Linked DNA regions of Schizosaccharomyces pombe. The protein of the gene in region 2 interacts with the protein of the main gene of each other region in a pairwise test. Each region holds a gene or a part of one and is shown on either strand. Other genes may lie near its edges.

Evidence for each region.
Region 1: the proteins of hem13 (region 2) and SPOM_SPBC115.03 interact in a two-hybrid assay, tested with the Schizosaccharomyces pombe proteins (one large-scale study listed by BioGRID).

What each region holds. Positions count from the first base shown.
Region 1 is NC_003423.3:632,500-637,793, forward strand, and holds SPOM_SPBC115.03 (gfo/idh/mocA family oxidoreductase), read right to left. Parts: upstream 3,386-5,294; 5' UTR 3,235-3,385; exon of another isoform or gene 3,197-3,234; intron 3,066-3,196; exon of another isoform or gene 3,046-3,065; 5' UTR 2,952-3,045; coding exon 1,845-2,951; 3' UTR 1,225-1,844; downstream 1-1,224. Other genes in the region: FKBP-type peptidyl-prolyl cis-trans isomerase Fkh1, read right to left, coding at 117-143; AFG1 family ATPase, read left to right, coding at 5,155-5,294.
Region 2 is NC_003424.3:963,460-968,525, forward strand, and holds hem13 (coproporphyrinogen III oxidase), read left to right. Parts: upstream 1-2,676; 5' UTR 2,677-2,970; coding exon 2,971-3,909; 3' UTR 3,910-4,132; downstream 4,133-5,066. Other genes in the region: two-component GAP Byr4, read right to left, coding at 1-975; SPOM_SPAC222.17 (uncharacterized protein), read right to left, coding at 4,406-4,499, 4,571-4,746.

The DNA of each region.
Region 1 (5,294 bases), on a different chromosome or scaffold from region 2:
AATTAAGGAAATGCAAATCAGTGGTGAACCGACTAACACGGATGAATTGTTTACAAACATAACCAGAGAAGATATTTGTAGATTCAAAAGAAATTACCGATTTTTTCAACACTTACAGAAATAACTTGCTTTTCGACACCCATATTTAACAGATTTCAAATAAAATAAGTGGTTGGTTAATGAGCAAACCCGAAAGTAGTAATGGAAGATGTATATGGAATAACTTGCCCAGTTTACCGCATTCTTTCATTCTGTGATGTAAACTCGTTATGCACTTCTCTATCCGGTTTACCGATTAGTAAACTGAAAATTCCTTACTTATCGCTATACCATGTACTCTAGTATTATTCATTCTGCATACTATAACTTCTTAGAGTGGGTTTAACAATATATCAAAATACACCATCTGACTTTATTCTAGTCGCACTTACATTAGTTATTACATTCAAGTAGTATAATAATAATTGCTTTGTCTTATTCGTATAAGAAAACAGCATATTGTAACGAAGCACACACCACAGTTTACTGTTTTCTTAAGTAAATACTGAGCTATGTAGCTGGTTTGAAGCTTGTTTACCACTTTTCGTTGATAATCACTATTCAATAAACAATAAGAACTATAAACCTTTATTGAGAAAATAGAAAAAAGAAGTATTCTTAAAAACAAAGATTAAAATAAGGCGCACCGAATATATTCGAACAGTAAGTTATTTGACACATGTAGCTCTCATAGCAGTATTTAATAATTTGCTTGTAATCGTATCAATCATCCCGAAATTCAAAAGAAATAGGATTGTAAATTACGGACACTCAATAATAAAATTTTTATATAATACGATGGAATAGAATGAGCAGCACAATTGTTTAACTTAAGTACTGAGTAAATATATGGACTCTTAATGTAACAAATGAGGGTAAACGCACAATTTAAAGCATATTTTCTAATTTTATTGAAACGGATTTTGATGAAAGCTAATAAATAACTTTATAAATCTTTTTTAGTTGAACTGGCGATCTAGTGGTTAATGAAAGGCTGGGACATTCAATTAAATTTCAGTTAAACTTATTGTCAGAACGAAAAATAAATTGTTCATCGTAAGAGAGTTATAAGATAGATTTACTTTTATTTCCGAAAACACTTAGTACATGCTGTGAAATTAGCATGGAGGATGAACAGAATGGCAATAACCGAGTACCATAAATCATACTTCTCGTAAAAGTATGGTTTGTTTGATTCAATCTTTATTATACAGTATCCTAATCAAAAAGCTCTCAAATATAGTTTGGGTGTCTGTAAGAAAAGCATATTTCACTTCATATTGTTTTGGTATACCTATATACTAAATAGAAAATCAATGCATTTACCAATTTTTTTAGCTCGACAAGAAGAATCAATAGTCAGAATAGAGTGTTGAAATTGTGAAAACTTCGTTAATACGCAAACAATATCATATGAAACGAGCATTAAAATTTTAATGCTGCTTAAACAGATAATTACAGAATAGCAACAGTGAATCTTTTCACTAGTATGACTTTATTGTCTTTTGTACGTTCAGTCCCAGTGGTCGTCCACTTATTGGAAAGGAGCTTTAAATATGAAAACAATATTCCCTTCATTTGAACATTATATGATTTTGGTAATCCCATTTCAAATTCTTTAAACGGTTTCTAAAACATGCAATTCATTACCATTGATTATGGCTATGAGATGTTATAACGCAATTGTTAAAACCAAATATTCACTATTTTAATTCTAAGATCACTTCTCATTTAGTTTAAAGAAAAACAAGCAAGGATTTTCACACTGAAGGGTTACTTCATTTAATAAAATTGTAAATATTCTTTTACAACTGGATCGAGCTAGAAGATTCAGAACTTTTATATGCAGCCTCCATTATTTTTTCTACTGCCAAAACTTGATCAGATTTGATAGGAAACTCGTTAGCTTTTTTTAAGATTTCCTCAAAAACCGCATCGTAGAAGTCCCGGTAATTTCCCTGAACAGTAGGAACCGTAATTTTAGTTGGTTCAGGCAAAGCTTTCACGTCAGCATCCAAAGGAACAGTCCATAAGTTTCCATAGAGCTCAAATCTATCAGTTCCAAATCCATGATCGTTAGGCTTCATTCCTGAATGTAATTGTGACTCTTGTGGGTCAAACCCAAATTTCATAAAAGAACCACGAGTGCCCTTAATACAGAATCGCATTTCACAGCCGCATGACACATTAGTAGAAGACAGAATTACGTTGATTGGAAGTTTGTTTCCTTTAGCAGGGTAATGAAGAATAATACGAAAATAATCTTCCACCTCCAAAGGAGGAATTTGACGTTGAGCTTCCAGCTTGGCAGTAACAGAGTAAGGCGTGCCAAACAAGGAGACTGCTTGATCAATTAAATGTGAGCCTATCCCGTACACCATTCCGTTCCCGGGTCTAGGTTCATCTTTCCAACTTCCAGATTTTCGACCCAGACGGTATCGATCAAAGTGAGATTCGAATTCAACAACTTGACCAAGTCTTCCGCTTTCTATTATTTTTTTAGCAGTCAGAAAATCACCATCCCACCGACGATTTTGATAAATTGCCAGTAGTAGGCTTTTTGATTCGGCAAGTTCATAGAGCTCTTTGGCTTCCTCATAGGTAGGAGTAAACGGCTTTTCACAAACCACATGCTTACCAGCGTTCAAAGCTTTTTTTACAATTTCAGAATGAACATTGGGAGGTAGGGAAACTACGACCAACTCAATATTGACGTCGGCTAATAATTCATCCAAGTTTGTATAAACCAAAATATTGGGATATGCAGAGCGTGCTTTGGATTGTGTAACTGTTGCCCTACGTTCTAAACATGCATAAATTTCAAATTTTGAAGGTAAAGCTTCAAGGAATGGGAAATGAAAAACAAAAGCTGACACACCAGTTCCAAGCACTGCAGTCTTAATCGGAGGCATAGTTTAACTTAATCAAAGTAATGATTTGTAAGCTGTAGAATACAGAAATTTTTTTAATACGAGAAAATATCGAACCGCTAAAGGAAGAATTTTACTAACGACAGTGTAAGCATATGATCAGATATTAATAATCGGTAATTATAAAATTTTAACCGAATGAAGGGATCCATTTATCAAACATAATCATCATTTAGCTAAACATATGCTAAAATGCATTCATGTGAATACTTGAAAGAAAATGTTTGAAATCAGTCTATTTTACGAACTTTGATTTTAGACATACCAGTTACGCTTTTTTATTATAACAAGAAAGCAGTAAGATTTCAATTAAAAATTCAAGTAATAAAAAACTGATTTTTGCTAATCAATCTGGAAAAGGTTACAGAGTCAAAGTGGATGAAATAAACTAAATTTAAAAGTAGTTTGTTTTCGACAGCTCGATTACCTAACAAAGATCGCTTATTAGCATGTCATTAAAATATTAAACACTATAACGATCATTAGGTTGAGCTTGTTAACCATAGTTATCATAGCTTTTGCTTTGTAATTAATATCATGCCAATATTTCCTCTTATAAAAACGGGAATTTTCGAACAAATAATGTACATACTATGGGATAAACAGTCATCTACTCAAAGATATTTTTATAACATTGAGCTTTAGCGTAGTTGATGCCTAAGATCAAACAAAGTAATGACTTATGGGAATTTTGAGGAAGTAAACATTTGAAGTATCTGTTTAAGTGCTTCTTCTAAAATTCTTTATTGCCTGCCTTCTTTCAGAATACAAAGTATCGCCTTAACAATTCACTTCGGTTTTACTATTTGAATGGTGTTCGCTTAGATGAGCTTAAAAATTTTATAGAGTTTATTAATTTAAGGCCTTTACTGCGTATGAAGATAGTTTTTCTTTTTCTTTTTTTTTTTTAAGCTAATGGCATCAGTTTATATTTCTGAGCCAACTTACTACCCTTTTTTTTAAAGTAATTAGTGAAAATTTAAAATATCATTCATGAATTCACATGCTAAAATAGCGAATACATATGCCTTATTTTATCTACTAAGAAGCTTTCAAAGTTCTTAACTCAAACATTTCAGTATTCCTTATTATCACGTTTTAAGAATTTCCCTCCTTTTTTATATATCATTTAACAACATTTGTTACACATACAAGATCATAACTTCATGCAGTAGCTGTGTGTAAACACTAGTATATTAATATATAATTCATTTATTTGTTTGTGGTCTACTAAAGATAAAATAAAATAAGAATAAACATAAGAAATATTAATAAGCCAAACCAAATAATCACAAAAAATACGTATATAGGCGTTTTATAAATATCTGCGTTTTGCTGGAATAATAGTTATGAAACTAATGAACGGAATTCAACTAAACATACTCTACAGCACCAATTAAATTCACTATCGATACGAACTTCTTTCTTCGGGATTTCCTTAAAATCACTTAACATCAATTGTCAAACTTATTAACAAACTGAAGCAATACTTGATATTGACCAAATTAATATTATTCTCGTACTTTTTAATTGAGTACAAAAAATAAAGTTGCCATTGTTTGTTGAATATACAAAAAATGGAAAAGAAATAAATAATACTTTAATAACATGAGTTCCAATGTATTATTGAAATTCCATGCGATTAACTTTTTTACTAATATACAGAATAACTCCACCTATCTGGGATCGTATGGAAGTATAGTTGCTTATACTTAGTTCCATTAAATTTAAAATTTTTTAAACAAGAAATTTTTTTATTAAGAACAGGTTTCTATTTACCAACGAAATAGGCTTGACTTACTAGTTTCAGATTAACATTTGCTCATGATTAAGACAATACGCAAACGCATATACCGAAATCATCGCAATTCACTATAATAAAAGCAAACTGCACTGCCGAACGCTATTCAGAGGCAAGAATAATCATGCATCTGTCCAACGATTTATATTTATTCACTTAAAAACATATGTCTTTAATCACTAAGTACGTCTTGTAGTTGACATATTTTCTTTCTAATCTTTTGCTTTTCATCTACAATCGTTCTACAGCTTTATATCCACTCTCACTTTATCATTCCTGAATGAATTCACTAATTGATCAATAACCACTTTTTTTCTTTACTTTAGTTAGCTTACGAAACATTATTTTTGTTCAAAAGTTTGTATTTAATTTGGTCATATCATCATGCTGCAAGTGCTTCGTGTTTCAGCTCCTTGTTTTGCTTTTGTTGATACTATAGGAAGCATTGGAGTTTGCAGGGTAGTTCGCTTTACCACATTTCATAATACACCTATTGAAGTATACAACAAGAAAGTTAATGACGG
Region 2 (5,066 bases):
AGAATGTTTACTCGAAGCCTTCAACGTTTCTGGATAATGAGAAGACGTATCCCTTTTCGAAAGTGTTTTCGAAGAATACTTTAGGTTTGGGTTATCAGAATGAGGGTTTTCATTAGCGAGTGAAGGAAATATGTCTTTACAAAGGGGATAATATTTTGCATCCTGATGCACATTAGGTTGATAAGAAATTGTGGAGGAAATATAAGGATGCTTTTGGTTGATGGTATTTGGAGATCGAATCTTTTTCCGAAAGATCGATTCTGTTTCGTTATTAAAGTCAATATCAAAATCATCCCAAAAGCCGTCGTCATTATGCGCAGAGGAAGGCGTACGAAGCGAAGACTGTTCTACGCTGGAAAAGGAAGCTTTTGGATCCATCCTATTTTGTTTTCTGTGCAAAATACTGTTTAGGTCGGTATCTGGGTCTATTTCAAAATCATCTTCAAATGAAGAAAAGCCTTCCGATTCACAATAAGGGGAGTCCGAAACACTGGGATACCGAGCATCATTTTCACTTGAAAGATATGTTTTCTTAAGAGTATCACTAGAGAATGGAATTGGAGGTCTTTGAGAAGCAGTTTCAGATGCTCTAATAGTATTGAATTCATCAACATCGGCATCTTGGTATTTATTGGGACGAAGTGTATTAAACTCATTATTACCTTCTTCACCTTCTTCATCGAACGAAAAATCATCTTCATAGCCTTCTACATTGGAAGAAATTCGGTTCTTGTTGGAAGACAGTTCATGGTTTAAATTATGTACTTGTTGATTCCATTGTTCGACACGAGAATGAGCGCTTGGTACATCAGAAATTGAAAGGCTATTAAGACGACTAATAGAGTCGTCAAACGAGAACCCATCATCCACACTCGTACTAGCACTAGTGGTAGCTATGGATTGAGTAAATAGGCTAGCATTATCGACGTCGGAAGCAAAATCAGGATCATCGTCCCAGCATTCAACTTCAGTCATTCAATCAAAATAAACGTATACTAAAACGGCTTTGCTAAGAAAAGAAATTGGATGCAAAACGCATAGAATGATTACTAACCGTATTCACCCAAAACTGAAAACCCTAAATTTGATTTTCAAAGAAAAAGAAAGTGAGAGAGAAAAAGGATGGTCACTAATTTTGCAAAGAAGTAACCACTGTAAATATTTACGCTTTCAAACCCAGCTTCGAGAAGTAATAAGTTATGAACAGCAATTCAAAAGGACTTCAGGAATATGATTATGATGATGCTTTCAGAGATACAATGAAATTTTGTTTTGTATAGAAAGCAAAAAAAAGAATTTAACTTATTTCAATGACAAAATCAAGGAATCTGGGTTAGCGGTATATTGTTGAAAGAGACGGAGGTTGAGCTAGAGGTATAAGTGTAAACACCAACTTGATCAATTTACGTACTTTGGTTTCAGTACTTTACGAGAAATCAATTTTTAATAAGGTGAAAAATAAAGCATCTACTATTTGCTTGTGTAAACCTAAAAAAAAAATAGTTTTTTTTGGTATCTTTCAGTCATATTTATTTTTGCTAGATTAATCATAGTAAAATACTTAACCATATGTGATTGCCAAAATGCATAGCTGCACCTCACCTTAAAAAAATCTAGGTAATCTAATTAGCATGCAACTACGAGTTAATGTTTTTTAAAAAGTAGATAAATTACAACGAAGGTTAGTAGGTGAAGCAATAAATAGTATGTTTAATCGTCACTCGTATTAGCAAATTCATTCGTCTTAGAATTTTATTTTCCTCCACGAAAATATATATATTTTTCTTTGAACGTTTAAATTATTATAAACAATTGCTTTCTCTGAAATTTATGCCCATTTACAATTTAATTCTGTTTATGGAATCTACATATTCGTTCAAGTATATATGAAATACATTTTAAGGAATCTTTTTTTATTAGATTCTTCGTATAATTTCTAAAATACATACTATTTTCATATACGAGTTTAGATAAATTACAAAAAAAAAAAAAAAAAAAAACGATTAAACTATAGGTTAAAAAGTAAATCTATTAGTTTATAACAAAAGAAACGTCTTTGTTTTATTTTAGTTTATTTTTTTACATCTAAAAAGTTATTGAAATCAACAATGGTAAAGTTGAACAAATTAACTCTTCAATTCATAGGTATGAGAAACCGTTCTTCATTAGTAAATCCAAGTATGAAACATAATCATGTTTTTACCCCTATGCGATCGCGCTATTCATATTTTTCCTAAATTATTTTTAGCATCAATTCTGTCTATAGTTTCATATAATTTCAGTGATTTAATCATGTAATTATTCATGTAAAGTTCATAAAAAATATAGGTTGATGATCTTATTAATGTTTGTACTTAAGAAATGGTAAATCGAACAAGTTGAAAAAGTAAGCATGGCATCTGTCTTATACTCTTGTGCTTTTCTGTAAACCAAGCAGTTAAAAACATTATTGCTTGCTAGTAGCGAAGCAACTTACAAACATTTCTCATAGACGAGAAGTAACTCCATTTTTCAGATAGTCTAATAATAAGTCAAAGAAAAGGATGTTTAACATCATCCTAATCAAATTCATATAAAACTAATAATTGTTTTCCATCGAAGGAATCTATATATCGCACTACAAGGTGCAGTAACGAAACACTCAGATCGTGGAATCCGGATTGTGTTCTTAACCTTACGAGAAAAACGAGCCATTACGGTCGTGACTGTCCAGAAATCGTTCGATTTTTAAATATCTGAATTTAGTCTATTTTTTGATATAAATCCCCCTAATCCCATTCGCTGCTGGCACAGTGTTTTTGTGAAAACAAAACAACCAAGTTGTAAATTTAATTCGCAAGTTGAACAGTGTTTTGATTCTTCACTTGTGTTAATACCAATTCATCCAATCGGTTGTATCATATCTTAAATACCATTTTGGTTACTTTTTTTTTTGGACATTTTGAGCAAATCCGTAAAGTAAATAAAAAGATGTCTGACATTACCGTTGAGCCTATTGGCAAGCAGATGGAGAAGCTTATTCTCGATGTTCAGCAAGAAATTGTTGCTGGTCTCGAAGCTGTCGATGGACAAAAATTCTTCCAAGACAAGTGGACCAAGGGAGAAGGTGGTTATGGTATCAGTTGTGTTATTCAAGATGGCAACGTTTTTGAAAAGGGTGGTGTCAACACAAGTATTGTTCAAGGAAAATTGAATCAAGACGCTGTCCAAAGAATGCGTGCTAATCATGAAGGTATTGATCGTACTGCCAAAGAGCTTCCATTCTTTGCTGCTGGTATCAGTATGGTTATTCACCCTCGCAACCCCATGGCCCCTACTACTCACTTGAACTATCGTTACTTTGAACTTGTAAACAGTGATGGTAAGAAGATTTGGTGGTTTGGTGGTGGAGCCGATTTGACTCCTAGCATTCTCTTTGAAGAAGATGGCAAGCATTTCCACAAATTGCATAAAGAAGCTTGCGATCGCCATGACCCCACTTTCTATCCTCGCTTCAAGAAATGGGCTGATGAATACTTCCTCATCAAGCACAGAAAGGAGACTCGTGGCATTGGCGGTATTTTCTTTGATGATCTTTCTGAGAAAGATCCTCAAGAGTTATTTGCTTTCGTCAAGGATTGTGCCCATACCTTCCTTCCTGCCTATGTCCCTATTATGGAAAAGAGAAAGAACATGGAATTCACTGAAGATGATAAGGAATTCCAACTCATTCGTCGTGGATACTATGCCGAGTTTAACGTTATGTATGACAGAGGTACTTGGTTTGGTCTTCAAGCTCCTGAACCCCGTGTTGAATCTATTCTTATGACCCTTCCATTACATGCTTCCTGGCGTTACAAGTATGAGCCTAAACAAGAGCGTCACAAGGCTCTCCTTAAAGTAACGCATACCCCTATTGAATGGTGCTAGAAAGATTCACAAAAATGACTTTTACTTCAGCATTTAATGAACATCACAATTTTTGGTAATAGCTTTATTCTTTCGTTTGTTTTTAAACTATGCCATGTTACACTAACTCATGTTAAATTTTCTATCATGCCTTTTTTGCTCTTCATTATTTGGAATTCTTAACTGTTTGAATTTGCGATTTTGAATCCCTTTTCTAAGCTAATGAAACAATATTTTACCCTTTAAAAATCCGTATCTTTTATTGAGTAGTGTTTTATAAAGAGTTTTAAAGTAAAGTACAGTACCTATTTGGCTTGAGATCTAATTTCACAATATAAATTTCAACTGATCTGCACTTTCATTAACTTAATTTCAATGTATTTTTCTTTAAAATAATACGAATAAAAAAAAAGAAGATGAAGGTAAAATGTGTGTGTCTTGTCTTTATGATAAAACGACGTCGATCCCCAACGGATTGAGATAGACAAGTCATAAAACGTTAGCATCGGTACAAATTTTACAGTCGCTCTTTTCTTTCATTTGTATCTAATTCCCTTTTACACTCAAATACAGTGGGCCGATTGGGATCTGCTGATAAAGTGCAAATGAACCTGTTGGTTAATATCAAACTCACAGTAAGTGTATATAGGATAATAATCTAACAATCTCCCATCTTACGTACCCTAAAGATTGCATAGTAGCAAACAATTTTGTCTCCGCTGCAGCCAATTCAATGCAGGAGATATCCCCTGACTCCGTTTGTTGGCAAACTCGTTCAGTTTGATTGTTTAGACTTTCAAAGAAGACCTTCTGTTCTTTGGTTGAATCCTTCAAAAATTCTTGTACTTTTTCTTCCATTATGCTCTTTCAGAGGAAGATTCAGTCGTACTGCTATATCTAATAAGTTGAAGTCAGGCTAACGCTGTTTAAGAGCTGCATGTCATGAGTATTGCTGAGTAACTTTAACACGCTTGTAGACAGATATCAAAACTCACAAATGGCCCGTAGTTTAGCAACAACATCAAATGTTGTTCTGTTCTTACAATTTCTTACGATTTTGTTACTAACGTTGAGACTTTAGTCAATCATCAACTCGCTGTGCTTTTAAATTTGCTATCACAGATAGATGCGTTGCTTACTATACATTAATGCATACAAATCTTTTTACATAATAAAAT